Linked DNA regions of Caenorhabditis elegans. The protein of the gene in region 2 interacts with the protein of the main gene of each other region in a pairwise test. Each region holds a gene or a part of one and is shown on either strand. Other genes may lie near its edges. The genes, in order: lsy-2, gla-3, chtb-1 and T27A8.2.

What was found.
Region 1: the proteins of gla-3 (region 2) and lsy-2 interact in a two-hybrid assay, tested with the Caenorhabditis elegans proteins (one large-scale study listed by BioGRID).
Region 3: the proteins of gla-3 (region 2) and chtb-1 interact in a two-hybrid assay, tested with the Caenorhabditis elegans proteins (one large-scale study listed by BioGRID).
Region 4: the proteins of gla-3 (region 2) and T27A8.2 interact in a two-hybrid assay, tested with the Caenorhabditis elegans proteins (one large-scale study listed by BioGRID).

Annotation. Positions count from the first base shown.
Region 1 is NC_003284.9:2,086,567-2,094,565, reverse strand, and holds lsy-2 (Zinc finger protein lsy-2), read right to left. Parts: upstream 4,863-7,999; 5' UTR 4,767-4,862; coding exon 4,740-4,766; intron 4,562-4,739; coding exon 4,421-4,561; intron 4,370-4,420; coding exon 4,264-4,369; intron 4,212-4,263; coding exon 4,055-4,211; intron 3,640-4,054; coding exon 3,556-3,639; intron 3,505-3,555; coding exon 3,409-3,504; intron 3,350-3,408; coding exon 3,173-3,349; intron 2,304-3,172; coding exon 2,195-2,303; intron 2,094-2,194; coding exon 1,998-2,093; intron 1,942-1,997; coding exon 1,837-1,941; 3' UTR 1,313-1,836; downstream 1-1,312. Other genes in the region: col-164 (Nematode cuticle collagen N-terminal domain-containing protein), read right to left, coding at 1-30, 81-796, 849-1,077; F49H12.2 (uncharacterized protein), read right to left, coding at 7,836-7,999. UniProt on the Caenorhabditis elegans protein: Involved in transcriptional regulation. Required to specify left-right asymmetry of the ASE gustatory neurons, probably acting upstream of microRNA lsy-6.
Region 2 is NC_003279.8:8,211,695-8,218,938, forward strand, and holds gla-3 (C3H1-type domain-containing protein), read left to right. Parts: upstream 1-3,003; coding exon 3,004-3,054; intron 3,055-3,099; coding exon 3,100-3,261; intron 3,262-3,335; coding exon of another isoform or gene 3,336-3,341; coding exon 3,342-3,434; intron 3,435-3,480; coding exon 3,481-3,816; intron 3,817-3,873; coding exon 3,874-3,994; intron 3,995-4,340; coding exon 4,341-4,693; intron 4,694-4,768; coding exon 4,769-4,844; intron 4,845-4,904; coding exon 4,905-5,363; intron 5,364-5,435; coding exon 5,436-5,684; intron 5,685-5,739; coding exon 5,740-5,879; downstream 5,880-7,244. Other genes in the region: T02E1.6 (uncharacterized protein), read left to right, coding at 32-238, 507-674; Protein dhs-3, read right to left, coding at 732-828, 882-1,153, 1,367-1,462, 1,508-1,581, 2,372-2,489, 6,321-6,593.
Region 3 is NC_003281.10:9,347,846-9,357,496, reverse strand, and holds chtb-1 (Chitin binding domain (ChtBD2) containing chtb-1), read left to right. Parts: upstream 1-2,151; coding exon 2,152-2,185; intron 2,186-2,529; coding exon 2,530-2,647; intron 2,648-2,694; coding exon 2,695-2,834; intron 2,835-3,097; exon of another isoform or gene 3,098-3,277; intron 3,278-3,725; coding exon 3,726-3,828; intron 3,829-3,872; coding exon 3,873-3,970; intron 3,971-4,022; coding exon 4,023-4,121; intron 4,122-4,171; coding exon 4,172-4,609; intron 4,610-4,775; coding exon 4,776-5,422; intron 5,423-5,468; coding exon 5,469-5,688; intron 5,689-5,734; coding exon 5,735-5,872; intron 5,873-6,130; coding exon 6,131-6,256; intron 6,257-6,315; coding exon 6,316-6,549; intron 6,550-6,596; coding exon 6,597-6,845; intron 6,846-6,907; coding exon 6,908-6,967; intron 6,968-7,015; coding exon 7,016-7,144; intron 7,145-7,198; coding exon 7,199-7,315; intron 7,316-7,361; coding exon 7,362-8,045; intron 8,046-8,123; coding exon 8,124-8,327; intron 8,328-8,426; coding exon 8,427-8,573; and 9 more.
Region 4 is NC_003284.9:16,056,388-16,061,814, forward strand, and holds T27A8.2 (Fork-head domain-containing protein), read right to left. Parts: upstream 2,559-5,427; 5' UTR 2,548-2,558; coding exon 2,288-2,547; intron 1,661-2,287; coding exon 1,540-1,660; intron 1,489-1,539; coding exon 1,444-1,488; 3' UTR 1,289-1,443; downstream 1-1,288.

The DNA.
Region 1 (7,999 bases), on a different chromosome or scaffold from region 2:
ATCGGCAGAGAGCTTAGCTGGATCGGATTCCTGAAAGTACTTTTATTTTATTGAAATCCAAGAATTGCAGTAAAACTCACAACTGGGGATCCTTCAAATTCAGTTCCTGGGGCTGCAGCGTATCCGCCACCTCCTCCTCCAGCGATGTCTCCTTTTCTTGATGGGCATGGGCAATAGGCAGCATCTTCTCCAGAAGCTCCGGCGGATCCTGGAAGACCTGGGAATCCATCTGGTCCCTTCTCTCCTTGTGGTCCTTGTGGTCCAGTCTCTCCCTGTGCTCCAGCTGAACCATCCTCTCCACGCTCTCCTGGAAGACCCTCGTCTCCTGCAAGACCATCCATTCCAGTCGGTCCTTTTGGTCCTGGTGCTCCTTTAGCAAATCCTTTTCCGTCAGCTCCACTGGTTCCTTTCTCTCCTGCTGGTCCCATTGGTCCTGGATGCCCATGGTCTCCTTCTGGTCCATCATCTCCTGGTGCACCATCGCGGCCTGCGTTTCCTGGAGCTCCTTTATCTCCCTTCTCACCACGTGGTCCACGTTTTCCTTTGTATCCAGCAACACCTGGTGGTCCTGCTGGGCAAGCAGTGCAAAGATCTCCAGCTTGGCTTGCAGTCTGCTCATTGCTTCCATCAGCTCCATCTTTTCCTGGAGTTCCATCGGTTCCGTCGGTTCCTGGCTCTCCGGCTGATCCTGATTCACCCTTTGGTCCTGCTGGGCAAGAGTCGTCAATTTTCACAGGGCTGGCTTCGGGTGCTGTAGCGGCAGGAGATCCCTCACCAGCAGCTCCTCCTTCCTTGTCTAAATTTTCATTTGTCAAATATTTTCAGATAACGTTAACATCTGCACTTACATGTTTGTCTTGCAACTCTGCGGTGGCTTTCATTCGTAACAAGCTCCTTCCAGAGCACATTCGAAGTCTCTTCAAAACCAGTTTTTGCAGTTTCCAGTTGAGCAGTCATGTCTCCCATAGTATAGAAAAGGACAGGAGTAGCAGTTACCATAATCAAGAAAGCACTTCCAGAAAGAATGACTGCAAATGAGACAGTCGACGAAGACGACTCCATAGTTTTGTAACTCATTGCTCGAAACAAACAATGGAGAAAAACTTGGTTGATGAATGTTGTACCCCACTACCGTCTTATATACAACATGTGTTATCTAAAACTCTGATCGGTATGTTCCGGAAGTTGTCCTACTCCTTCCCAATCTTCACTTCAAACCACTTTCATTTGTATTATCTGATCCTTGCTACCGCTTCAACAAGTTTTTGCATTTGCATATTCTGGATACCAGGCTATTCATTCCATTTTGTTTCAAACGTATCAAAATTTTATTATTCACTCCATAAATTGAATTATGACACTTCATATTAATCGAACACCTATACAATCGGCTCAAAAGAGAAGAATATATAAAAATAGACGAAATCAGGCAACGGGAAAAAAAGGTAAAACAAACAAAGACTACTACAACGACTATACAAACTCCTCAATAGGTTATACATTAGGTTATAATAATAAAAAACAACGGATTACAAATGGAAATAAGGAGCAAGATATCGCTGGTGTAGATCAATGCCAACAATGATAAACGGCATGCTTACAATTTTGGAAAAAAAAATGATTGAAAGAGCAAGTCTGTCTGTCAATGGGTAGGAAATCTTCAAAAAATACTAATCCCCGAGGTAAGAAAAGAACCAAAAAAACAAGAAGAAAAAAGTACCCCGTTTTGAAAAAGGTGAATAAGAGAAGTTGAAAGAAATGTCATCGAAGGCGTCAAAAATGGGTAAGTGCGCAAGCTGAATTACTCTATCTAAGCAACAATAATAATAATCAATTTCAAATCAACTGTGGTTCCATCATCTGCTGGCCAAAGTTTGCGCCAAACAGCATTTGAAACTCGTCATTCGTTGGTACCAAAATTTCCGGATCTGCTGGCTGAGGCTGAAAAAAAAGTGAGCTTTAGTTATTTGTTCAAATATTAACTTTTGTAAACGTACAACAATTTCTCCAGTTTCAATCAAACTGCTAACTCGCGTGTGGTAGCTCATGTGCTGATTGTAGCTGGCCTCGTCAGCAAATGGTCTATAGCATTTCTGAAAAAATATATATTGTATCGTAAATCCAACAATAATAACAAATTTTCAATCATCCCACAGACAGAAAACCACTCAAATTACAACGTTATAGAACTCACTTCGCAGAAAAATTCAAGACCCTCCCGATGATTTTCGTGTTCGAGTGTGTGATGGCTGACACAATCCATTCTGGTCATGAATTGAGACTTGCACACTGGACAATCATGGCTGAAATTAGGTAGGTTTAATGAAAATTTTAATTTAAACTGTGTAATGTGTTCTCTTCTATTATAATAGTTCTATTAGTTCTATTAGTAATGCACTGCTCGATTTTGGGAGCTTACAACTCAGTTGGTTCAAAAAAATTCAATAAGTATACAAACCCAGGCATATATTAGGAAATGAATCGCACCATGGGTGTGCGGCAAATTCGGCAAATTTGCCATGGTTGTCATACTCAGTAAATCGCAATATTTTTCGAGCTCAAAGAGGGCCAAAATTGATTTAAAAAATAAACTACGTTTACTGGTTTTTGTTCGAATTTTGCCTAATGCGCGTGTGGATTTCTTCAATAAAAAATAAAAGAAACACGATGTTATGTTTACTTTCATTAGGTTTCTGTTCAAAACCATTAGTTTTGTACAAAATTTTTATAAAAATTGTTTCATGTGTGCGGCAAATTTCAGTATTTGCCGGGCTCGGCAGATTCGGCAAGTCTACATTTTTGAAATTTACGGAATTCGATGAATTCGGCAAATTCGGCAAATTTGCCGCACACCGAGCGCTTTTCAGATATTATACTTATACTCACTTTCAGTCCTACATTCACTTTTTGATGCTTTCTATGCTTTCAACAATCTTCCAGCCATTTTAAAACAAATTATAAAGTACGCTCTCTTTTAAGATAATAATTCAATCAAAATTTGACGAAATTTCGTAGCGAAACTGTTGCAAAAAATTTGAATTGATGTCAAATCTTTCTCAAACGCACGGAGAGCAGGTATGTATATAATATGTACCGTAATTCTGAGAATTCATGTGCTCAAACGGCATTTTCCACTCCGATTTCTTTTCAGTTCAAGGATAAATAAACTCACGTCTCGAATGCAATGGACTTTGCAATCTCGAAAAGGTTGCCCCAACGCTCAAGAGACATGTTGTTGAAGATAGTGTCTTCGAGACGTCTGATCTTGTCCTCAAGCTCAACTTGTGGCAGAAGATCTCCTCTTCTCAACTTGTCCACCCAGTGCTCTGGTTCTCCGAGTCCAAGCTTCCTGAAAAAAAACATTCGGTAATCTCACATTTTAATTGTGCATGCTGGATGTCTGCTTACTTCTTCTTCGGACGAGGCGGCGGCGTGTAGTACGGTCCTCCGGCTCCACGAAGTACGATGGCGTCGTCAGGGATGTCAGCAGGCGGCCGACGGTTGCTGAACCGAGATTTTGCCAATACTGGCGTTCCGTTTTTGTTAAGATCAAACCTGGCAAACGGCCTCCAGGCAGCTTCCAGCTCTTCCTTCGTCGTGACGTGTGTGCGAAGATGCTTCTTGAGGTTGCCTTTCAGTCTGAAAAAATTTAAAAAATTTGTTTGTTATTTCTCGTATCGCCTAAATAATTTTTGTTGATTATATTTTTGTGTTTTCTACCCGCAACATTTAGATTACTGTCACGAGTGCCGTTTTGAAATGAGTACGGCATGCATCTTATCTACGCCTTTTTCACCATTCTAACACTATTTCTCTTCGTTTTATCGATTGTTCTACAGTGTCGCCTATGGCATTACGGTGTCTCTCGTCCGTCTCTTTTTCTCTACCGTTTCTCGGCCCGTACACTGTACACACCGTACTGCGCATTAGCAGAGGAGAGTCGACTGTGAGAGAATGAGAATTAAGGGGAAACGGTCGTTTTCGCAACCCGCCACATTTTTATTACTGTACATTTGAAAGAGCACAGCGAATGTTGTTTAAAAAAACCACTAACCGACAAGTTTTTCCACAATATGGACAGGCGTGAGGAGTGAAGCCGGTATGGACTGAACGATGCTCAAACAAGTTCGACTTAAACCTAAATGATTTTGAACAAATATCACATCGGAAAGGCTTCTGATCTGTGTGTATCACTGCATGCTGCTGGAGACCTGAAAACAAAATCAGAGTTAGACAAAGCTACCGTATTTTTCAAAAAATTACCTTTATAGGAAACAAATATTTTGTTGCAAACATTACACTGGTGCACAGCTCGAGGGGTCATCATTCCTTCCACCATCTCATCTTCTTCAGGAAACCCCATTTGATACTGAAATTGATTATGATGCCCCTGAAATGGTTTCAGAATTTTTTTGAGTACCTGAGAATAATCCTGCTCATCCATCATCATTTCGGAGTCATCCATGTGTTGATTGTGGTGATAAACTGACTGATTCGACCCGTGAGTCATACTGGAACTGTTGAATTCAGAGAGGGACTGATCCGCAGAATTCCGTTGACTCTGAAAGTAGAGAACGTCTAAAAAAGTAGGGAATTTATAAAAGATTCGATAAATTGAAATTTGAAAGGAGTTTATAAAAGGAAAGGTTAAAGTACAGAAGCGAAATAAAAATGAAAACATGGGTTTCAAGAGATTTCAAAAAATTTTAGAAATTTTTTTTGAAATGATATCTAGTTACCTGCTTAGCATTTCTTCTGGTTAGCATGACAAAATTTGCCTCAGACAGCTTAAAAACAGCTCGAGACTGCTAGATATTGCGAAAGAAGCGTCGAATTCAAACTATTCACCTTGCCGCCAAGTGCAGAAAGGGTTATGGTATGAGAACGATACGGTAAGAAATGCGACCACTCGGAGGGGACGCGACGCGGCCGCAGCGCAACGAGAAAACGAGACGCAGGCGCGCAACAAACAACAAGGATAGTGAGCGAGAGGACAGAGGTCACCACCGTCGCTTGCTGTTCGTGGTTTTTACATCGTTTCTGATAACTCAGCAAGTGTAGAATTTAGAAAATAATGAGTTTTTTGTGTATTGCGAGTGTTTAGAAAATTAGATATAAAAAATTAAACTGTATTTTTATATTATTTCGTAATAATCGTCATTTTTTACAATTTTTTTTTCAAAATTATAAAGTGCAAATTAAAACATTTTCATTGCAATTTTTCGGAATTTTTAAAATTGTCTTTTTTTTCTAAATAAAATACAATTTTATGAAAAAAATTATTTTAGTTTTAGTCATGGTTTGGTCGAAAACACAAAACAGGTGCAAAAATAAGCAGATGCGTTTTCATAATCTCAGGTGGCCGAGAATTGAGAAATTGGTTGCTAATTTTTGGGCTATGGCAAGTCTTAAAAATAATTTGCATCAGAAATGTTTTATTGAAAGTAAAATTAAGATTTAATTATAAATAGAAGTTAGTGCTTGGAATAGTAAAAGTCAATCAAATTATACATGATCAATAATATTTTTCCTAACATAAAAGACATGTATAATATTGTCACAGCTGCTTTTGGAACTGAACAAAACCCAGCAAAAGACTTCAACGATTTTGGCAAATTGAAAAAAGTTAAATGAAAAAATAAAACCTTGAAATTTGAAATTGGAAATTTGAATGAAAATCGATCAGGACTCAGAAAATCGCATCTATTCGCTATGAACACTATTCGATATTCGTGCAACGCCGTAAGCCCCAGACGAAGAGCAGATGTGCATCTTGCCTGCTGCTCGCACGCATCCACGCTGGCTCACCGTGTAACTCCAAGTATATTGGGAGTTGTTGTTGTTGTTGTTGTTGTGGAGGCAGACGTGGTTGTTGTGGTGTCCATTTGGAATCGGAGCAGCAAACGGCGTGTGTTGTTCATGGAAATTGGACTGGTGCTGCGGATGGTGTAAATTCATCATTCTGAATTATAAAATTAAATGTTTTCGGGTTAATGAAATTGAAAAATAAATAAAATAAGTGTATATTAATTTCGAAAAAAAAGTGTGAAAACGGTTAATAGTAGTTTAATACAAAATTAAAAAGTTAGAGATCTCTTGAATTTTAAAGCTTTAGATTAAATTTAATAAGATTTATATATTTATTGATAATTTATTGACTACAAAGCAAGTTTGTTAACAAACACAACAAAACAAATAAAGATTGACATTTTGTGAAACCTATCAGCATTTATACTATTTATAAAAATACCAATAAGTAGTGTTATATAAATTAATTTACCAAAAATAACAAATTTTTTCCAAATGTTTTTTTAAACCTGAGGAGAAATTTGTGTCTTGTTCAGTTTATGTTCATAAGTTTCACAATTCTAATTGAAAAATCTTGAGAAGGGGAGTTTTGGTGAACTAAAATAAAACAAAACGTTTTTTTTTCAAAAATAATATATTAAGCCAGAAACTCGAAAAATTAGTCTTTACAATTAGTATCAAAATTTTAAGGATACCTAAAGTTTATAGTAAGATTCCTTCAAAGTGAAGTGTTCTAACAAGAGTGTGAAAACTTGTTCGACGTCTCAGAAAAGAAGTACAATCGCCAAGTTGTTCTGGGAAATTAGATTAAGAGAAACGAGCACAAGTTGAGAAACTCCCTCTACTCAGATACTCGGCGAAGAAAAAAAAACGTGAAAGATACTTTTACCATGAAGGGTGCCATCTTGACGAACATCTGCTGAACAGCCAGCTAGTTTCCGTTCTGAGCCCTCTAACATTTGTAGGGCAATACTTTTATTTGAAAAAAAGCAGCTCACACTTGCTTCATTCGACAGATTTTTGAAGTTTTGAGAACTTAACCGCTTCGTTATATTGGATCGAGACAAATGGGGAAAACGAAAAGGATTAAGACATCCTGGCTCTAGCTTCCTAAAAGTGCATGTTATTTTCAGTTACCTGGTGCGTGTGGAACGATGAGACTAAATCTCTCAACCTAGGGAAGTCGGTTCGATAAACATAGTTAGGGATGAGTAACGGTTTGGACGCCTTTTAACGTATAAATTGAATATGTGCTTAAATGATCGAATTTTGTAATTAAATTTTTTTTTAATCTACAAAATTTTATATGACGGTTCAAAATTTCGAAAAAAATTATCCAACTTTTTTTTTACTTTTCCGTGCCGCAGTGATTCAAAGTAGATTTGTTTTAATTATTGTCATTTTTTTTGCAAATTTTGGTAATTTACCTTATGTTGTTTTGTTGATTAAGGTATTTTTGGAAATTTTGAACCGCCATAAAAAACTTTTGAAACAATTTTGAGTCGTTTCATTAAAAAATTCGTTTATTTAAGCACATTTTGGGTCTATATGTTCAAAATCGTCCAAACCGGTACTTCTCCATTAAATTTTTATAGCCTTTAATATCAATTTTTTAAAGCAATGTTCAGAAAAAAACTGTTACTAATCTATGCACACTTTTTTACAATTTTCATATTAAAATATTTCAAATATATTATTCAGATTTCCAAGGCTTACATAATTTTTTTTATTCATTTTAGTTTGCTTTGAAAGCCAGAATACATTTCATTGTTTGAAATATTATTTCCAAGGTATAAATTTCCTCAGAAAAATTATAGTTTCTAAATTTTCACAGTTCTGCAGTTTTTCATAATACATATTTATTTTTTTAGCAAAGAATTATAAATACAAGTACTTAAATTACGCAAAAAAATTATTTTGGAAAATATAAGCAATAAAGAAGAAAACAAGTCTTTTACAAGTTACATTATGAAAACTATACATGTCGTAATATAAAGTCATGCGATTTTTCAGAAATTACCAGTAAATTATTCAACAACCAGATTGCTAGAAACTAAGAAAAAAGAACCCCCTGAAGAAGTCGGATTCAACTTTTTAGGCGGCTCTAGAAACTCATCCATAAAATGAGTGTCACTAATGGATATGGGAGTAATGTTTGATGATTTCTTTGGAGGTGGCTCTTTCTTTTCCA
Region 2 (7,244 bases):
GAAATTAAAAAACCATTGCTTTTATTTTCAGGTGATAGCCATGATGATTCTCATCACGTGGAGCTTCTTCGTTGAGAACAACGAGATGATTCCAATTATTCTCTGCTTTGTCAATGTTATCATTCTTATCATCGTCGTGCTTATCCTCTTTGCAATTCAATTTGGAAGATTGAATGTGGTGGAGGAGGCACTCAATGAGGATATTCGATTTAGAATTCCCTACGAGTGGAAGTATTGGGTAAGTTTTGAAGGTGTAGTAGAGTGGGGATTTTGAGTCTAAATACTCGAAAAAAAAACTCGAGGAAGATTGAAAAATCCACCTTTTGAAAATGACCTATTTCAATATTTTCTAATTTATATTTTTGAATTACCTCCAAAATGAAAATCCACGTCGACTTTTGAACCAATCAGCTAATGAAGTTGACACACTTCATCTGATTGGTTCAAAAGCAAACAGAGCTTAATGCTGATTGGATACGTTTTCATCAGTATTTAAATATTTCCAGATTTGTGTCATGCACATTCTCCGTTTCTTCCTCATCTGTGCCAACATTACCATCGGAGTTTTGGACAATGATTTTGACGGTGGCGTGATTGTCTTGGTATCTGGAATGCCGGTGATGCTGATTCTATCGGCTGGACACGTGTTTTTCTCACTACGCCCTCAAGGATGATCTCTAGTTCATTATCAAATAAATATTTTAAAAATGAAAAAAATAACACAACAAAATTTAAGCCTGGCGTGACTGGCGTCCCTTGAAATGATCCATAGAATGAGTGATTCCAAAATGATCCCCGTATAAGTTGAGAACTTCAGTTGGAAGAAGTCTGAAAAATCATAAGTACGTTTAACATAAATCTGAAATTCAATAGGAACTTACCCTGCAAGTGCAATAAAAATGTAGCTAAACTTTGGAATTGCAAGGAATGCTCTGTCGGTGAGAACTGCCTCCATTATGCAATCGACAACATATTCTGGTGAAAGAATTGGAAGAAGTGTTGGCCATTTTGTGGCAATTCCATCGAACATTCCAGTATTTATATAAATTGGGCAGACTACAGTAGTCTTCACATCCTTTTTTAATGCGTACAACTCAGACGCAAGAGAGTCATTAAAACCAACAGCTCCGTGTTTGGATGCACAGTAATCTACCTGAAAGCTTTTTAATTTTAAATGTCTTTATTTGCAGAATATTTGGCCTCCCAACGAAACGTATGAAACACCATGTAATCTAAAAAAACAATGTAGGCACAGGGATGCCTACGTACCTATCTACACACAAGTTTTTTTCGACCTTTTGTGTAGACTAACTTAAACCCTTTAACTTTTCGTGGCGCGGTCAACATTTTGTTTTAAATCACTTACCAATCCAGCAACACCACACTTTCCAGCCATTGAAGCAATTGTTACAATATGCCCTTTATTCGACTCGAGCATGCCGGGAAGGAAATTTTTGGTAGTCTGGAAAATTTCGGTATTCTCTTTTCAACAAAAGTCATATCTTACAAAGAACAAAGCATTTGTGTTAACTGAAACAGTCTTGACCATCAGCTCATCTGGACATTGCAGCAACTTTTTTCCTTGAAATGTTTTTATGAAAAGATATTATGGGAATACTAATTTCTGAGAATGCGTATTGCGCAACATATCAGACGCGCAAAATATCTCGTAGCGAAAACTACAGTAATTCTTCAAATTACTACTGTAATTTTTGTGTGAAGTAACAATGGGTTCACTGAACCTTTTCGAAAGTCTTATCATTTTATTTATTTTATTGATTTTTGTTTTCTCTCTTTATCTGGCATATTTCGCTTAAAATGAAAAATATGTAATACGCTAAACTTCGTATGTTTCTAAATCTCTACAGTATGCAATTAGCAAGGGATGTGCTTTTTTGCCAGTGGGTCCCGCCGCGCCATTCAAATTCATTTAATTAATACCATGTGTATTGCGACTCTTCATTGTGTCTTCGAGACCCGAAGAACTCGGGGGATGTCCAATTGGGGGGATTACCAACTCGGGGATTGGCCCCGCCCACAGAACCGTGGCTTGCAATACGCCCATTTCTGCAACTGCCGCACGGTTTCGAAACTGTATTTTTCTCAATAGAGCGAGATTTAACAAGAAAAATACAGTTTCAAAACCGTGCGGCAGTTGCAGAAATGGGCGTATTGCAAGCCACGGTTCTGTGGGCGGGGCCAATCCCCGAGTTGGTAATCCCCCCAATTGGACATCCCCCGAGTTCTTCGGGTCTCGTGTCTTCTACAGGAAAAAATTAACTCTATAAGGAACAAAATTATTATTTACTGTGTTTTTGTATTGTACATGAATTTTTCAGAAGTTTGGATGTTTTCAGCCGACTGTACTTACCCGTCACAATTCCAGCGTTGTTCACGAGAATATCTACTTTCCCTACTTCACTTTTAACCAAATCGGCGGTTCTATTGATTTCTTTGTATTCCGATAGGTCCACTGTGTATGCTTTAGCCTGAAAGATATAGAAATGAAACAGTATACAAATCGCAGAGACGCAGAGAAACGCACAACGACACTCCGAAATGACGATCGCGCGTTGTTTAGCGTGTCATTTGAATTTGTACTTTTTCTCATTTGCTTACCTAAATTTATTCAACTTCTCTTTGTTTCCCATTTTTGAGTAAAATATTTTTAAAAAAGCCATTTTCAGATTCTAAATCGTATTTTTCTGTAAATAGATGAGTAGCTCTGCGTCAAAAACTCAGGAAATAAGGTATATTCTTCGTATGAATAACTAATTGCTAAAAACAAAATTTTCAGCGTCGTCATAGATCCCCGTGATGCGCTTACAAACAGCACCAACGGCAATAAACCAAACGGCCCAAAACCGAAAGTAAGATCAGAAAAGCGGTAGTTCGTGAGAAACTAGAGCAGAAGGGGGTAGAGGAAAAAACTAAAGCTAAAAAAATAACTAGAAATTAGTGTTTAATAAAACATTTTATTTTCTCCATCCTACTCACCCAACCATGCTTTATCAACCATCTTTGTTAAAAAGTCGACTTACTCCTGCTCCGCCGGTAATTTTCGGAAAAAGTGTATTTTTGGTTTATAATAAAATTCAGGGGTTTTCTTTTCAACCTCAGCCTCTATTGAACTCAGATATGGATCCAGTCAGAAATTTAGAAAGTCTAGGGAACTACACGGTGTATCAAGATTCTTCTCAATGTTTTTGGCAACATCAAAATTTTACCTCCAATCGAGAGCATAACCCCGCATTAAGGAAGGTTCTATTTTTGGAAAAACGTTTTAATTTCTTAACACTTCAATATTTTAATTAAGATCTACTCATTCCTTGTAGTTTCAGACAAAGATTTGCGATCACTGGCGACGCTCGGGCAGCTGTTCGTATGGCGACGCGTGCTGGTATGCTCACGGTGAAGACGATCTTCGTAAAGTGGTCAGTTAAGCAGCGTAGGAAACATCAAAGAAATCTGGTTTTTCAGGTCCGGATTGATCGTTCGAACGAAGAAGAGAATGAGCGACCGGCTACTGCTGAAATTCAAAAGTCGCCGACAAAGCGTGCATCAACCAACGTCAAAGGATTAACAGTGAATATTCCATCGAATACTGCCTTCAAAGAACAAAACTCTTCGATGCCGTTATCTCCAGCTCAGGAAAGATGGATTTCCATGTCAATTGGAGCTGTACCACCACCAACCAGCTCAGCTGCAGAGAAGGATGCGATTTCATCATTATCTAAAAACGGTGTCGAGCAAGAACAGGAAAAGAAGCATGAAATATGTTCTCGTGACGATGATATTGACGATTACGGATTTTTGGTTAGTTTTGTAACTTCAAGAATAACTTTCGGTTGAAACTGAACAACTTGTTTTCAGTCTCCGAATCCGTTCCCATACCCGCAACAGTCAATGTTCTCAGCTGGATTTCCATCTCATGGACACCATCAACGTTCCTCGAATCGTGCTACGCAAGGGGTTCCTTCTCAACAATTTGGAGGTATAGAGATTTCACGAGGTTTTCTCGAATTTAATGAAATGAGTCTCAGCCCGCTGAAATTTTTATGGTAGTCTTTTTGAATTGTTGCGGCTGATTTCTCGTTTTCTTGAATTTTTCAAAACAATGACTTAGTTTTTATCAATCTTTATCGTTTTCTATTCATTTTTTTTGCTAAAATTAGTTTAAATCAGTTTTTGGAGTATAAATTAAAAAAGACTATCATAAACTTTTTATACGTCGAGACCCTGAATGAATCCGTGCGCCTTCAAGAAAACATGTCAAATTCTAGTGAAATTACGACAAGTTTTTCTTCAGAGATTTTTTAAATCAAAATTCATTGTTACAGGGCCAGTCAACATCCCTGGTCAAGATCCGAATCGTTTGGGATCTGGAGCATACCATATCCCACCACAGCACCAAAGATCAAGATCCAATGTTCGTACTTCACGAGAGGTCGGCGGTCCCCCTCCGCAATTTCAACAAGCGATTTGGAATGTTGCTGGTGAAATCTATCAACGTCAGAAGGACATAGAGATAGGCGGACAGAGAGTTGGACCCAATGATCGTCAACCGACTCAACAGAAAAATTCGGAAATGGATCGACTTTTGTCTAAACTGAAAATGAAAGATTTGAACTACCTTCGTTTTATGATAGAGCGAGGATATATCAACGAGCGTGACGTGTCTAGGCAAACTTCGGTGAGTGGTGTCTCAGGTTTTTCTTTTTTCACAATTTCTTTTAGATTTAAAAAAATTCAAACAATTTTTGTTCAGAGTGATCAAATGAGTAATGGTCATCACTTCAATGCTCCTATGACCCCACCATACCATCCACGACTTGCAGGAAACGGTAAGATTGAAATCAACCAAATAAATAGGAAAATTGATCGAACTATTGCATACATTTTAGAACCAAATACTTCGGACTGTCATTACCATGGAACTGGAAATCGTTTATCAAATTTCATGCCAGGACGTCATCGTCCCCCACATCAACATCCAATCCATCATCATCATCAGTCACAACATCAGCTACACCAGCATCAGCAATATCTGCATCATGCTGCTCAGCAATACCGTTATTCGCATCAACAGGGACCTCAACATCCGTTTGCGGCTCTTCTCTCACCACCGGAGATCTCGGAGTCCTTGCTCCCACCTGATGACTCGTTTTCGATTTGGCTCGAGCCGAAGCCGAAAAAACAGTCCGGAGCCATGACACGAACTCGCGGAGCTGCGACGATCAACGAATCGAGTTCTGCGGCAAGTCTGCTCACAAAAATGGATGCTCTTCGATCAGACAAGTATCCAATTACAGACGAGGAAATGATGATGGCTAATGATTTTGTGAGACAAGGCGATCGAGATGGTATGTTTATTGGTTAATTTACTCGAAAAATTTCTATAAAAATTTATAGTTCTGAATATCCATCAATTTCAGATAAACTAAGCTCCAGCGAAAGCTCAAGTCCTGTCGTGATGTCTTTGATGGAACTATTGAGCAACGAGAATCTGCTCGATCAAGTAGCAACCGAAAAACCAAAGTGTTCTATGTTCGATTTTGATACTCTAAAAATCGCCGAAACTCTCAAGGAGCCACTGCAATCTTCCGAATGTTCAACTACAACATCAAGCAAGATGACCTGCTCTCCAATGTTCTTTTTCGTAGATGAAAAGACACCAAACTACGGTAAAATTTTTTTTAGTATTTGAGTAGAACCTCCAATATATCGGCTATTTTTTAGACGGCTCAGGATCGAAAAGCCTTTTCACTCCGTCATCATCGGCCGGCCAGACGCCTTCATTCCTGGAACCTTGCGATTTTTTTGCAGCCACCGGATCGTGCCCCTTCGGTGACGCCTGTCATCAGAGTCACTCGATTTAGGAGGACCAGCGATGATTTTAAAGCCCATTATTGTAATCATTTTCTCATTTCTCACCCAATTCAGTTTCTAAATTTTATACTTTATCATTTTGTCCTTTTTCATCGTAATTTTTGTTCTACTCGCAGCTCTTCTTTAGTTTTTTGTATGTATTTAGGGTTTCTTGTAGAGGATATGGATACTTCCAGCTTTTTCCCACCCACATAATCTTGTTTTCCTCAAGTGATACGGATACCATCCACAAAAGTACGATATTCATAATTTAAATTTTGTATTTTTCTTCACTTTTTGTTCCATTTACACTTGTTTTCATTATTTCTAACGAGCCCGCGCCGCTCTTGACACTAGCTTTGTAATAGTAATAGTTAGCTGTAGTTGTAGTAAGTTTTAGCGAACATTCATCTAATAAATCTATAAATGTGAAAAATGTTGCAAGTCCAAACCTCAACTCCCATCGCTTCCAATTCTTTGAGTGTTTCTTTGTTTCCTTGCTCGTTTATATCCCATAACACTAATCTTGCACCGAGTTTTCCGAACTCGAAGGCCATCAATCGGCCTAATCCACTTCCGGAGCCAGTGATCAGCACAGTTTGTCCTGAAACTTTTAATATTATTTCCTTGTGTACGTGATCCGATACCTCGAACGTCTTTTCGTAGTAGCCATCCCATTGGGAAGCAATTTCTAATTGTGGAGATAATAAGAAGACATATGGCATGTAGAGTCACCACAACACTTTCTAGAATATCCTGCATCTACAAAATCGGAAAATTGAGGGAATTTTTAAACCAAAAATTAAAACGTATTGGTTTTCTTGAAAAGTTTCTGGAAAAAAGCTAGAATACAAAAAAAAAGAATCAAGATTGAGAAATCATATAATGAAGAGTTTTTGTTGACTGTACACGCTTTTTCTCTTATCATTCAACATTTTATCAGTGAATAGACCATGTTCTGTAAACATTTTGATAAGAGATGGAGAAATAGTGTTGGAAATGAAGAGAATTAGATAGAAGGTAGAGTGGAGCCGAGAATACAGAATTTTGAAGTTTTTGATTCATAGTTTTGGTCGAAGAAATGCACTGAAAAAAAGTAAATTATTACCCATACGCGCAATGTTGCGATTTTTGAGCCAAAAATACGGTAACCGGTCTCGAGACGCCTTTTCAAATGTAAAATACAAATGTTTGTGCTCCTTTAGAGGGAACTGTAGTTTCAAACTTTCGTGTTTTTGCAGAATTGTCATTGATTTTTCATAATTTTTCGATTAAAAAAATTTATTTATTTAAAAAGTAACAAAACAAAAAAAGCAGGACTGAAAATCCATTGGCAACGAAATTTTCAAATTACAGTACTCTTTAAAGGCGCACAC
Region 3 (9,651 bases), on a different chromosome or scaffold from region 2:
ATTCGGGGTCCCGTCTTGTCGTGAGATGAAGGAGACACAACCCGCCGCCGCCCTTGTGATCTTTTTCCTACGAACACAAACCCAAATTCCTCAACACTATTTCTCTCCCACCACCAGCAGCACCAAAATCTGATAAAAAATGACAAGTTTTGTCGTAGAGACTCCGCGAGGACAACAAACAGTGGCACGAGCAATCTCTTTCGTGATATAGTGTTGCAAAAAGATGCGCTTGACAGCTTGTCTACGCCATGATGTTTTTTTTTGCTTCCGTGTCTTTTCTAGGTGCGAAAAAAGAACAAAAAAGAAGACAAGTCTCTCCGGATTCGGAAGATGGTTTTGAATGAAAAGTGAGATTTCATTCAATTACATATGAATATGGCCAGTTACGCAAGGAACGAACTGGATGCCATCGAGAAATTAAATGGTCTTGTACTTTTGCAAAAAGAGACCGGTAAAGAAATTAGCAATGATATGCATGGAAATTATTTTCCATTTCTTTTTAATGTACGCTGGAAGTTTTAAAAACAACATTATCTTATTATCAGTTGAGCGAAAAACGCTAAAACATAAGTTACCGAATTTGCATTAACTCAATTGAATTTTTACAGTTACTTATCAAAAGCGGCTTAAATTTTTGGCTTCATCAATAGCACGGAAATTTCAAAATCGGAATGCGCTGCCAACGGATAATCCAAAAACAAAAATCGTTGTGAAGCAGTAATAGATTCAAATTAAAAGGCTTGAAATTAAAAAAAACTGAGAATAAATTTTCACAGTCCATAATATATTAGCTGCCCTGTCCAGTTCAAATTGCCTGACCAACATCGCATCGTATTTGACTAGAGGTGTCTCACTAATTGCGTGCATTGCGCACTTAGAATAATGGAGTTTTGAATTACACGAGATCTTACAAAAATGCGCGTTGTTTTTTATGTCCGGGAATTTGGATTTGGAGGGTCTCAATTTCACTTAAAAGTGGCAATGACTACAAGTGGCAGAACAGTTAAATTACAATGACTCGGTCGAATCGAAACCGAATGTGCACTTTGCAACAGTATACGAGTCGCGGTGGGCGCTTGGTGCTCGATTTTTGTTGGAAATGTGTGCATCGCGCGTCCTTCAATGTTATGGAAATATGCAGTAGTTCCGGAAAACATCATATCATTTTGAAACATTAGCTACATATTATTCGATACATGGATGGTGGATGTTTTAAGTCTTCAAAACTATATGTTTTCAAGAACAGATGTCAAGACTACTGTAGACTACTGTACTGTACTGTAAGACTACTGTAGGTCAATCACTTCCATCATAATCATAAAATTCTTGTGAAATCAACTATAAAATTACGCCACCCTCATCATCACTTCCGATTATTTGTCCTCTTTCATCCGTGCCCGGAATTCGTCCGCGCTGGTCAAGTTGAACTCGTCGACTCTTTTCTTGCCAAGAAGTTGCTCAACCCCCAAAAAACTTGATCCAGTGTTTCCTGGCGGCGGTTTTACCTCATCTGAGACGCCTTAGTGTTGCTCCCCCAAATAACCCTAAAAAAGGAAACAATAGTACTTTTTCGCAAGAGAGACCGCGACCTCGCGCGCGCCTTCTATTCTCGTGCTCATAAGCGCCGAGCTTCTATTTTCGGCCGACTTGATGTAGAAAGAGACAGAGAAAGAGTACTGACCTCTCTCCGTCTTCGCCACCTTCTCAAGCGTCGTGTGCGAATCTCCGCACCGGTACAGTATACGCGGAGAGGAGAAGAGACGAAAGATAGAAACGAAGAAGACGGAGAGGGCGGCGCGTTTCGCATACAAACCTCCCCAACCCCTCGGAAGCTTCCTATCCTCTAGCTCTCACCCTACCTGCTTCATTCGTTCTCTACCTCACCATCGGAGAGAAGACACATTTCACATCTTAACCCCCACCCACAATACCATTATTTTCAAATTCCGTCTTCTTGTTGCTCCGTTGTCTCCTCCCCTTATCTCCCACCCCATCACAGCCTTTTATCACTTTATCAGTGTTCAAATTTTCCAGCGTGGCAATTGTTGTCGAGTCCACCAAAAGAAGAAGAAGAAGATAGCAGCTTTGTTTTCCATCTGAATCGACCACCTTCTTCCATTTATCATATAATCACAAAGCAGTATACACATAATGCTGCGCAATCTCATTTTAATCACCCTCCTCGGTAAGCTTTCTTTCAAATTTTATATAATACATTCTAGATTCTGTTTATTTTTGAAAAATGTTAGCTCTAAAATTAAATACTCTCTCTTGAAAATCTATATTTTTCCATATATTTTCAGAGGCAAAAAAGTTTCTGAATAGTCTAAATTTGATCTTGAATTTAAATGGGTTTATACATAAAACTTATCAAACTTATTCCATCTTATAGTTTACTATTCAACTACTAGATTGCAAGAATTTGTCTGAAAATCTAGGCCTGAAATATCACTGTATTTTGAGAATTTAAATAATAATAATTTCCCATTCATTTTTCTTATCATTTCTCAAACCAATTTTAATTTACAGTCGCTTCTGGACATGGACAGACGCCTGTAATTGGCGGAACGTGTAAACTTGGAACTGCTGATGTTCAAATTGGAGGAAAACAGACACAGTTTTTCCTCAAGTGCGAGACGACAGCTGAGTGAGTTTCATTCAACCAAAACAACTGAAAATCTTTCATTCTTTTAGTAGTGCCGAAGGTGAAGGTGTCTGGGTTGTGAAGTCGAGAGCCGCCGCCGCTCCTTCATCAGTACCATCTGTTCCAGCTGAAAATACACAGCCACAACAACATCCAAAAGCTCGTAAACCAGCTTCCCCGAACATTTGTGGTGAGTTTCTTAGACTTCTTATTCTTCTTCATCACCAACATTTATTCCTCTATTTTAAATCGGTGGAAGCTCTTAAGTCAACTAATGAGCGAGCCCACTTCTGACCGCAAATAAACATCAACCACAGTGGTCAACAATAAGTTGAAATGAACTGTTACGAGCGATAAGGTATCTAGGAAATTGTAGAAGAAAGAAAAGTAGAAAAAAGTGGAAGTCCGACATCTCCAAGCCATATTTGCTTATGCTTCTGACAGTGTTTCTTGTGTATTTGTGTGTTTACATTTAATTCTTTTCCTTTTCCTCTCACTCAATTCAATTCATTCCAAAAAATAAAACACACACATACAAACACACAAACATCACAAATAGTGTGTAGATATTTTGCCAACGAATTCCAAAACTAGATTCACTACATTTCTTGTGACCAAATTTCATCATCTTTTCGAGGAAATTCGAGGAAAATGCGCCACTTTTGTCTGGGATCCTTTGTTTCACAATTCCATTATTTGACCACTCTAATGAACGCAAATGACCTAAATCCTCTTGATGGGAATGAAGAAAAAAACGCAACTTGCGGTGTCTTGCAATTCCTGCTTGCTCCGCCGGCTTTTGTCCACCACTCACTTGCGCACAGTGCGTTGAGAGTCGCCGGCGCGTGACCAAGAGGGGGTTCAACAAATAGGTCAGAAGGTTGATAAGAGAGTGTTGGAGGAAGGGATACGCAGCTCGCAGAGCTCACCAGTCGCCGCCGCGACCTACCGAGGAAAAGTGTTTTGTTTTTAAGAACCCCAGCGAGAAAAGACAGAAGGGATAACTTAATGAGATCGGGGATTTGGTTTAAAACTGAAATTTCATCTTATTATTCTAAATCGATCAATAAAATATTTTCAGAACAAGACAATGGAGCCCGCGAGAGCGAGGTCTGTGCCGTTTCAGCCACCTGTCTTCAGGCTCATAACGACTTCCCATCTTCCTACCTTCAATGTGACCAAACGTAGGAAACCGTTGCATAATAAAAAACAAAATGTTCAATTCCAGCACTCTCCGATGGGTCCGCAAGTCGTGCCAAGAGAACTTCTTGTTCAACTTTGAGCAACAAACTTGTATCGTTCCAAAGAGAATGAGCTCTCTCTCCCGTAAGTTGTTTTTATGATTAACCACATATTATTTCACTAATTGCTTAAACAGCATCAACATCTTCCCCATCTAACACTGAAAATCCCTGCTCGAAATGCCCACTGGGATCAGCTTGCCGCAATGGTAACTGTATCCCTTTAACAACTTCAAGTAGGTTCTAATCACACTTTTCCCGCCTATGATCTCTAACTTTCCATTAGATTTGTGTTCTGATGGTTCTCCTCCTAATAATACATGTACTCGGGATCCGTACTCTTGTCCCAAGGGACATTTTTGTACCGCACAAAAAGTGTGTTGCCCTTCAACTGCATTGCAATCATCAATTGGATGTTCGACGGTCTGCACAATCGATGAATCGTGTCCAAAAGGAATGACATGCCAGAATAACTGCTGTGAAGAAAGAAAACTACTACGACATCCAAAAGTATATCGATATGCAACTGTAGAGGCAACAAATACAATATTTGAAGTGGATAATGATATTTTTGATAGTGCTGCAATCGAATCACTCCCAACTCAAAAACCGCAGCGACTAGATGAAATTATGGCTCCAGGAATCACACCAACTCCGACAAGAACCACTGAACCTCCAAAACTTCGATGTTTGAGTAGTAACACGGACGAGGTCAATTCATTAGGTGCGTTCACTTTTCTTCCTTCCTTTTCTCATCTGTTTGTGGTCACTTTAAAGTATTTCGGAAAGAGCGCTCTCCGTTTCCACCACTGTTTACAAAGTAAATAGGAGCCTAATGAGAAGCACGCGCATTAGCTAACCACCTCATTTCATCAACTGTACTTTTATAGGCGGAGCATCATCATCATCTGCAACATGTGGAGGAACAAATGCGAATTGTACTTCTGATGAAGATTGTCCAACAACCTTCAAATGTTATCAAGGTTGTTGTAAATTGGCTGTATGTCCGAGAAGTCTAACAGCCGTCAAATTCACATGTAAAACTCAATATCACTGTAGAGCAAATGAACATTGCTTTTTTGGAGGATGCTGCCCAAAAACTATCGAATTAGCTGTGATAAAATCACAAGTTTTGACAATGAGCAAAGACAACGAGCACACCAAAGAGACAGAAAAACTGATAATTGGAGACTGTGAAGTGGATACCAGAGTTAAAAAATGTGATATCGATATTATATGCCCAGAGATGTCAGAATGTGTAGATGGAATATGCTGTAAGCAACCACCAAAGGCACGATGTGGAAATGGATTGATGGCTCTTTCGATTCCAGTTCATTGTTCTCTATCAGATGATTGTCCAATTGCTTCTAGATGTGAATATGGGAAATGTTGTCCGTTCCTCTCAGAATCTGCGGATTCCACTTCCGATAGTGTCGGAGAAACCACGCCTGTAATTATAAAAGAAGAAATAATCTCAACAGCAACAAAAGTTTGGAAGAAAGTTGACAAAACCAGTGGTGTATCGATTAACAAAAATGTAAGTTTCTACTCGAGGTGGTAAAATATTCAATGTTATTTTTTAGAAATGTTTATCCACGCAAAGATGTGATTTACATACTCTGTGCCCTCCCGATTTCACTTGCTCACTGTCGGGCAAATGCTGCAAACTGAACATTCATTGCCCAGACGGGACGGTTCCTGAAACTTCATGTCAGTCTGCTAGTAATCATGATCACTGCCCATCATCATCTCACAAATGTACTTTACTCAATAAGGAACATTTTGCATGCTGTTATAGTCCTGGTAAGAAACATGGCATCCCAAACTTAATTGAACTAATGATTTCCAGGACTTGTCGTCGAAGGAAGTGTAACAGCTGAGGTTTCCTCAGAATGCCCCATAGGATCTGTTGAAGTTGATCCAAGATTCGGAACTTCCTGCCGATACAGTTTGCAGTGTCCATCTCCCTATTTCTGTAATCAACGGGGTAGATGCTGTCAATTAGCTAATACCTAAAAGGTGAGGTTCAAAGAAAATGAACTTAATTCAAACTTTATGTATTTCAGATCCAGATACAATGCTTCAATCCCAATCTCTTTGACAAACACGTGTACACCGACATATTCAATTAAATAACATAACTAACCACATTAAACCTTCGCATGAATACTTACTTCTAACATTCTTCATTATGAAAATCCATACTCCAATAATCTCAATTTACATTTGTAATATTTATGTACAGGTCAACAAGCCAGCGGACTCGTGTGCACATTCTCTAGCTGCTCCAACTCCAACCCATGCTCCGTCGGAACTTGCAACAACGGATACTGTTGCTCCAGTGGATCCAACTCTGGCTCAGCTATTATTGGTAAGTATTTTCAATCATTTTTGATCACTTCCCACAACCAGCACACTTCCATAATTCAGATTCTGACACCAACAGCACAACTAACCCGTCACAACCAGAAACCACAAAAACCAAAAATAATACGAAAAAGTCTAACTCTAGTAAAAAGCACAGAAAACCCAAAAAGAAAGACGTGGATCCCCTCTCTGATCCACTTCTTCAAAATGATTTTCCAATCGGACCTCCTGGCTATGGGTTCCCTGAACATTTATCCAACTTGGATGAAGTTCTGATAAGAGCTCAAGGAGATGGTGGTGAGCACCTTCTAACATCACTTGCACCTTCCAGATGTCTTTTACAGTTTCTTGTGCCGGAGGTTTCCAGTCTTCCTTGATCTGCTCTGTTGGTTCAGAATGTCCAGCTGGATTGCACTGTGATACCGCTATTAACCTCTGCTGTCCGCTTTTACTACCACTCACTGATCCTAAGAACCCAAAAAAGAGAAAAACGAAGAGAAGAAAGCAAAAACAAGATGAAAATGAGATGGAAGCTTCAGCAAACTTCCCAGATTCAGATCCTGCACGATTTTCGTCTTACTCATGTGGATGCAGTAATAAAACATTTTTCTAACAAATTGTATGTACAGTCAGATATTTATATTTAACTTTTCAGTGGGCGGAGGATCCAGCAACTGCGTCGGATGCCAGAATGCCCCACAAATCATCACTATCCGTGAGTACTCTGAAAATTTGAACGCTGAACTTATTTCTGATATTTCAGCACAAAACTCATGCCCAGGAGGTGGATACTCTGTCGGAGGATGCAGCTCTGGATATTGTGCCACTGGATACAGTTGCATCCAAAACCAATGCTGCCCATCATACAACTCTGCTCCAAGAATCTCTGTCTGTAAGTTTTATAGTTTATCGATATAGGTATTTATTCAAATGAATCTTATTCTAGACACCTGCCCATCTGGAGGAAACGCTGTTGGAGCCTGCATGTCTGGAAGATGCGCTAGTGGATACACCTGTAGCAACAACGTTTGCTGCCCACAGACCACCACCACTAACCCATTCGGTAATTTTTAATGTAGACTTTACATTCTAATCTTCGAACTTTCCAGTCTGCCCTGATGGAACCCAAGCTGCTGGAGGATGTGTGAACGGACAATGCGGAACTGGATACACTTGCTCCAATGGACTTTGCTGCGCCGGAACATCAACCACTGTCAAATGTCTTGACGGATCTGACGCCGTCGGAGCTTGCATTCCATCATGCACCGGAGATGGATGCGGAGGAGTTCAAGTCTCATACTATTGCGGATCTGGATACACTTGCACCACCGGAAACATTTGCTGCCCCATCAACAGTTGTCCAAATGGAGGAGAAGTTCTCGGCCCAACCATCAATGGACTTTGCCCAACTGGATACACCGTTCAAGGAAACCTTTGCTGCTCTGCCACCTGTACTGATGGATCAACTGGTCTTCCCTCTGTCAACGGAGTTTGTATCGACGGATACTCCCTTACCAACGGAGTCTGCTGCCCAGCAAGTGTCACCTGTACCGATGAGATTTCCATTGGCCCATGCACAGGAACTGGATTCAACGGAGGATGCCCAGCCGGATACGCTTGCGATTCCAACCAAGTTAACTGCTGCCCAGTTGTCAGATATACTGATGAGTCATGCCAAGTCGGACCAGCTATTGATGGACTCTGCCCACCAGGATACGTCGTTGTCTACATTCCAAACAGTCCACTCATCACCAACGGCGTCAATCCAGGAACTTGTATCGATCTTCAGTGTAGTAAGTTATTCAATCAAAATTATATGAACAGTTTTGAACATTATATGATTTCACCTTCATTAATTATGAAAACTTTAGCCACCGGACTTTGCCTCACTGCTAATCAAATCGGAGACTGCGACACAGCAACAGACGCCGGAACCTGCCCAACTGGATACACTTGCTTCACGAACGCCGGAATCTGTTGTTCTACCACTACTTTCAGCCGTCTTCGTATTGGTAACTCTCGACAAATGGCTCAAAAGCCAAACTATGGACGTCCACTTCACAGTTATATGCCTCGTAAGTATGCCTTGTTTTTCTGATCAACGTGTGGCGTGAATTTCTTACTTTGAAAAAAATCTCCCTGGTATCCTCCCTTTTCCACCTCTTCTTCTTCAGCTCGCTTCGGCGGACCATCCTCTTCGTGCTCTGATGGTTCACTCTCATCCGGTCCGTGCATGAACGGTCTTTGTGGAATTGGACTCGAGTGTCAGAATGGCAAATGTTGCTCTCCATCATCGAACAAGCCAGCCGGACTTCTTCAAAGTACTAGTTTGCATGCATCTTCCCCACTGAATCTTTCTCATCTTCCCCTTTACAGGCAAATGTCCATCCGGTGACACCGCCGTCTCCGGATGCTTCCCAAATGGATCATGTGGAACTGGATATGAATGTGTTTCTTCATTAAATCTCTGCTGTCCACCAGGTCAACCACAGACATTCCCATCATTCCCGGGTAACAACAATGGTTTCAACATCAACAACAACAATCGATTCGGATCATTGTCGATGTGTAAGTTTCGTGAAATTTAAAAAATCACGAAGACACATCATCTTCTCTTATAGCGCCGCGACCCATCGGCGCCCGTTGTCAGCTTGACGGCGAGTGCGTCGGACAAGCCGAGGGGCTTTCAATGTGCCACGCTGGAGTTTGCCAGTGCTCTCCGATCGCCTACACGCAAGGAATCGCATGCGTTAGACGAAAGTGTAAGGAATCGCATGTTGAATTCTATCCAGCTCGTCAACTGGCAAATCTGTCCCCTTTTGCATGCTCTATATAGACTTCTAGTCCTTAACAAGCCGATCCATAGCTTCACCATTTTCCTATTTGCCTAGAAGCTTAGACTTATAGACTTCCAGAATCCCATCTAGAGTCTCTGAGCACGCTTGAAATATTTAAAATGTTCTTGCCTTAATTCAATTCTTTTAGCTTTCCAAATGAACGACGACCCAGTGATCGACGCCGCCAACGACGACAAGTCAAGCAGCAGCGTAAGCGTGTGAAGCCTGAAGAGCTGAAGCGTGCATTACAACGTCTCTGCGCTTTGTATTACTTTTCTAGCTCATAATTGTTTTACTTTCCTTTTTTCCAAATATTTATTATCAAACGCTCAATTTCTCTTTTTTTTCAAATTGATTCTAAGTCTTTCCTATCTCCCGTTTCAACCTGTCCACCACTCTTTCACCAAATAATTATTGCCGCAACCTTATTTTTTGTTTTGAATTTGTCCACATTTTTCCCCAGCTGTTTTTGGACAAAAACAGTAATTCCTTGAGAATGTCAAAAAAATATATTTATTAATTTATTCTATTTAAATTATTGCTTCATTCCCTCCACCAAAGT
Region 4 (5,427 bases), on a different chromosome or scaffold from region 2:
TAAACACAATTTAGCATTTCAAAATATTGCTTTTTTTCTAAATTTTAACGGGTAAAAACGAGCACCATCTTATCCGATTTTTACCCCTGGCCATATGGACAACCCCCCACAGCGACCATATTGATTATCCACAGAATGTGCAACTCCCTGCGGCAAATTTGAAAAAAAAAAACGAGTCATGGCACTTTATATTTAAAAGTCAGATGCCCCTTCCCATATCTGTGACCGCCTAAAAGCGAATTTAGCAGCAGGGAGGATGGCTACCTGCGCGAGTGGCCACAAAAATTGTTTTTAAAAGATTTTTGATCTAAATTAAAGTTTGAAGGTGGACTAGCTAGTGGTTTCAAACTTAAATCCGACTCGGACTTGAACTTATCTCAAATAACTTTTGAAATAGATATCTGAAACAATGCAATTCAGTTTTGATGACAGCTCAGTATCGAAAAAAAAACAGAGTTTTGCTAAAACCTCAAGTCATATTAATTTGTCTGTGTTGCAGCTGTTGGAAATTATTTTGCAAATTGTCCGCCGTGCTACGGCACTTTTATAAATGGTGCCAGTCTCACTTTTTTATTCGATGACTTTATTTTTTGCGCCCCATCTTTTCTCAACCAAAAGGGGTGTACCAAAAGTACCTGTTGTCAATTGGATTTATTGATATATTATGATACTTCGTTATAGATCATCTTCTTGTGGGACACCCTGATATGGGACCATTTACCATTTTCACAGTTAATAATGTTTAACGTGGTTTACAAATAGAATTTGACGATTTATTTTTTTTTTTGGCAAAAGTCCCAATTTCTGCTAGATTGAAAATTGAACAATTTGAAGCTGCCCATTGAAATCAGTGCAAAATTCTGATATTAGAAATATATACTTTACCCACATTTAGTGTTCATTTTTCAGCACAAATTGCGCCATTCTACGCCACCGCGCCACGTTTTCATGGCGCCAACTCAACGCAATCAGTGACTCATCCTGAGCTGGCAACATGGTCAAGTGTGGTAAAGCACTCGACCGTGGAGTCAACAGTCGAGGGTTCAATCCCCTCACCGAACCAAGGTGGTTCTGAGTTGCTCACATGCTCAGATAAGTGGAAGTTCGGAAGATTGATGATCAAAAAGGTGGTGTTGAATCTTATTGTTTCATTCAACATTGACAAAAGATCGAAAAATGTTTTTTTCATTTTCATAGAATTGTCTTCAACTAGGCTTATACTCTTTTCACTCTCTTTTTCTGCTTTAGTTTCCCACAGCGTTTGTCAGAAATAACAAAGTTTGTATGATTTTTTTCCAATTTTTCCGGAAGAAATTTATGTTGGTAGGAATGTTTTGAACTGGAAACTTTTTTATATACAGAATTGGTTCAATAAAATCTAAAAAGTGAATAAGTTGAATTAATGTATAAATGAAATATTTTTATGAAAAACTTGTCAAGAGATCACCCGGTTGAGGACATCGAATACATCCGTCCAGCAAGATCCGTCTGCAAAACAATTTTTAATATAATATGACTGAAATTTCCATGGCAACATACCATTTCCACCTGATGCTCCACATATTGCTTCAACTCGTCTATATCCTTTCGAAACTCCTCCTCAACATCCAGAATATCCTTGTTGCCGTCTTCATAAGCCCATAGTCCAGATCTCACGTCTCTGCAAATTGAAAGTATAAAAAAACATATACGAATAGTTTTTGGAGTTATTTCTTAAGTTTTTTTTGGAGTTATTCTTAAGTAAGTGCTAGTGATTAAATTTAGCAAAATTTATAAACCAAAAAAATACAGTTTTTATGAGTATTCACATATTTTTGTTTTTCCAAAAAACTGATAAAAAGAAATTTTGGTGAAATTTTTGGAGAAATTGTGGGGTTCTTATCAGGGCTGTGCGGCAACCGGCAATTGCCGAAGTTGCCAAACCCAAAAAATTTTGGCAACCGGCAAATTTTGGTTGCCGAAATTTCGGCAAATTTTTGGCAACCGGCAACTTGGTTGCCGGTTGCCGCACAGTTCTGGTTCTTATGTCTAAATTATATGAACAGCAATTGTATGATTTGGCTATATAACTTGTTATCTGATATTTTTTAGCAGAACTTTATTTTTATTTTTTGTTGTAATTACATTCTGGATTTACTTGAATTTGTTGAAAATTATATGAAAACCAATTTTTAAACGCTACACGCAAATCTGACAACAAAATTCAGTTTCCGATAATATTTGAAAAAGAATTTGAAATGTTTCAAATTTTTGTTAAAAATATTTCTACAAACTTCACAAAACTCACCTTTCTCGACGAAAGCACAGTTCGGTGTCCAGAACCCAGGCCACATGATTAACAAACTCCCATTTGTACATATCGTGAAACACTTTGTAATACGGGAACAAGTCGGTGATCCACTTGACAACTACTTCAATCTCCGGAAACACGTCATCCGCTTCTTCCATCGCAGCACTGACCAGGGCGACCATTTTGAACTTGGGCATCGCCATTTCCGGATGATGAAGCCCCATAATTTGGTTCATTTCGTGAGTGAAATACGTCATGGTAGCTGAAAATGAAAATTTACTTAGTTAGTTGAAGGTTCTCAAATTTATTTGCCACGTACATAATAAAGGAAATACAGAAATGTCTTGTTTTTTTGGATCTTATATTGCGGCAACTTGCCGAGTGGGAAAAAATTTAAATCGTGCAGACGTCAGATTCAGTTAGGCGAAAATTACATGAAAAATAACAAAAAAAAAACCACAAAAAAGTATAGCTGTGGATATGAGAGAATGGCACATTCAAATGTCAGCAAACGGCCATAAACCATCGATCGATAATAGTGTGCGGAAGACGAGGGCAGACCTGTCGCGCGACTCACGCATTGCAGGCAACACCAACTTGTCGTAGGTCAAATCTTGACACGACAACGAACTCGTAATGACCAAATCAAAAGGAAACAAAAAAATTGAAAAAAAATTGAATTTCGAAATTATGAAAAGTTTGAGTCGGCTATATCTGAGCATAGTTGAAGGTTTTATAAAATTGATGATTGTAAAGATGAAAAAAAACTTTAATTGAAGATGGACAACGGCCTGTGGGAAAAGATTAAAACTCGTTCACATTAAAATTTAAAAATGTCCAAATATCATAATAAAAATATTCAAAAAAAAAGTTACCTTCAGTTTTAAATTTGACTCACGTTTCCAGTAATCCTATTTTAATATTGTTGGGATTCAAACAAGCAACAGTGTTTTGGTTTCTCCAAAATTGGCGCACGATCAGACCCGAAATAAAAAAAAATTCCACAAATTTTTAAAAGATCCATTATAATATTTAGTCATTTCCTAACTGTTAGAAGGATTGTTAAAGCTAAACAATTCATAAAAATTTCCATAAAAGTTATTCATAGAAAAACATGGAAAAACAGAAAATTTTCACAAAAATATTAAAATGAAATTTTTTCCAGAAATAAGCAGAACAACAACGGCATATCTTGCAGCAAAAAGAAATGCCGCACTACTAACAAGGAAAGAAAGCAAATCTAGTTCCGGACTATGAATCTTTGAATTTCCTGCCAAAATGTTTTTTTTTCTCAGGAAATTTGAGTTTCTCGCCTAAATTTTTTCTTAGAAAATTTGAATGTCCCGCCAATAACTATGGGACTCCCCCCGGTAATCCAAATATAGGCGCAAAAAACAAAAATGAAAATTTTCAAAGTTTAGAAGAATTCCTATGGTATTCGACAGAAGTTTTTTCACAAAAATTTTGGAATTTTGGTAGGGTTTCCATAGATTTGGATTCTAAATTTTTTAAAAGATTATGGATAAGTTTCTGGACCTACAAGTTATATTCTAGCCGCGCTAGAGGGGTTTTTGTCTTCAATTCATTTTTTTACATACATATGATTGCACTTTTTTGCAAAAAAAAAATTTTGGAATTTTAGGAGAATTTCTATGAAAATGGATTGCTAATTTTTTTTAGTATTACGTTTCTGGGTCAAGAAATTCGTTTTTGGTCGCGCTATAGGGGTTTTTGTCTTGAATTCCAATTTCAACAGGTTTCCTCAATATCAACAATTTCAACAGGCACAAAAAAACAAAAATAAAAATTTTGGAATTTTGGGAGAATTTCTATGAAAATGGATTGCTAATTTTTTTAAAAGTATTATGGGTACGTTTCTGGGTCAAGAAATTCGTTTTTGTTCGCGCTACAGGGGTTTTTGTCTTGTATTCCAATTTCAACAGGTATTTACAGGCACAAAAAACAAAAATAAAAATTTCGGAATTTTGGGAGAATTTCTATGAAAATGGATTGCTAATTTTTTTTTTAGTATTATGGGTTCGTTTCTGGGTCAAGAAATTCGTTTTTGGTCGCGCTACAGGGGTTTTTGTCTTCAATTCATTTTTTTACATACATATGACTGCACTTTTTTGCAAAAAAAAAATTTTGAAATTTTTGGAGAGTTTCTATGAGAATGGTTTGCTAATTTTTTTTTAGTATTATGGGTACGTTTCTGGGTCAAGAAATTCGTTTTTGGTCGCGCTACAGGGGTTTTTGGCTTGAATTCCAATTTCAACAGGTATATACAGGCACAAAAAAAACAAAAATAAAAATTTCGGAATTTTGGGAGAATTTTTTTAAAAATGGTTGCTAATTTTTTTTTAGTATTATGGGTACGTTTCTGGGTCAAGAAATTCGTTTTTGGTCGCGCTACAGGAGTTTTTGTCTTCAGTTCAAAACATTCCTACCAACATAAATTTCTTCCGGAAAAATTGGAAAAAAATCATACAAACTTTGTTATTTCTGACAAACGCTGTGGGAAACTAAAGCAGAAAAAGAGAGTGAAAAGAGTATAAGCCTAGTTGAAGACAATTCTATGAAAATGAAAAAAACATTTTTCGATCTTTTGTCAATGTTGAATGAAACAATAAGATTCAACACCACCTTTTTGATCATCAATCTTCCGAACTTCCACTTATCTGAGCATGTGAGCAACTCAGAACCACCTTGGTTCGGTGAGGGGATTGAACCCTCACAGGTGATTCGCGGCTCATGCGTGGCGCGTCTCACACGCTTCGCTCACGCGTCTGAGAGGACCAAGCGAAGACGCGCGTCACGCATGCGTCAGGCGCGCGTAGCGAAAGCAAGCATGCTTCACGCGTGCATTGCGAAAGGAAGCATGCTTCACGCGTGCGTTGCGAACGGGCATGAGTACGGTAGAAATGGGTCCAAATGTAGCGGCCGGAAAGACATGAAGCATTTTTGGCTCATGAAAGCCCCAGAACAAATAATTTTGGTTGATTGTAGCAGAATTCGTAACAAAAATAACTTCATCTGAACAACAAACAAAAAAAGCAGTAATAAAAGAAATTAATAAGAAAAGTAACAAACCAATAATTAGTTGCAATATTAATTAATCAACAAAAACAGCTCATGAT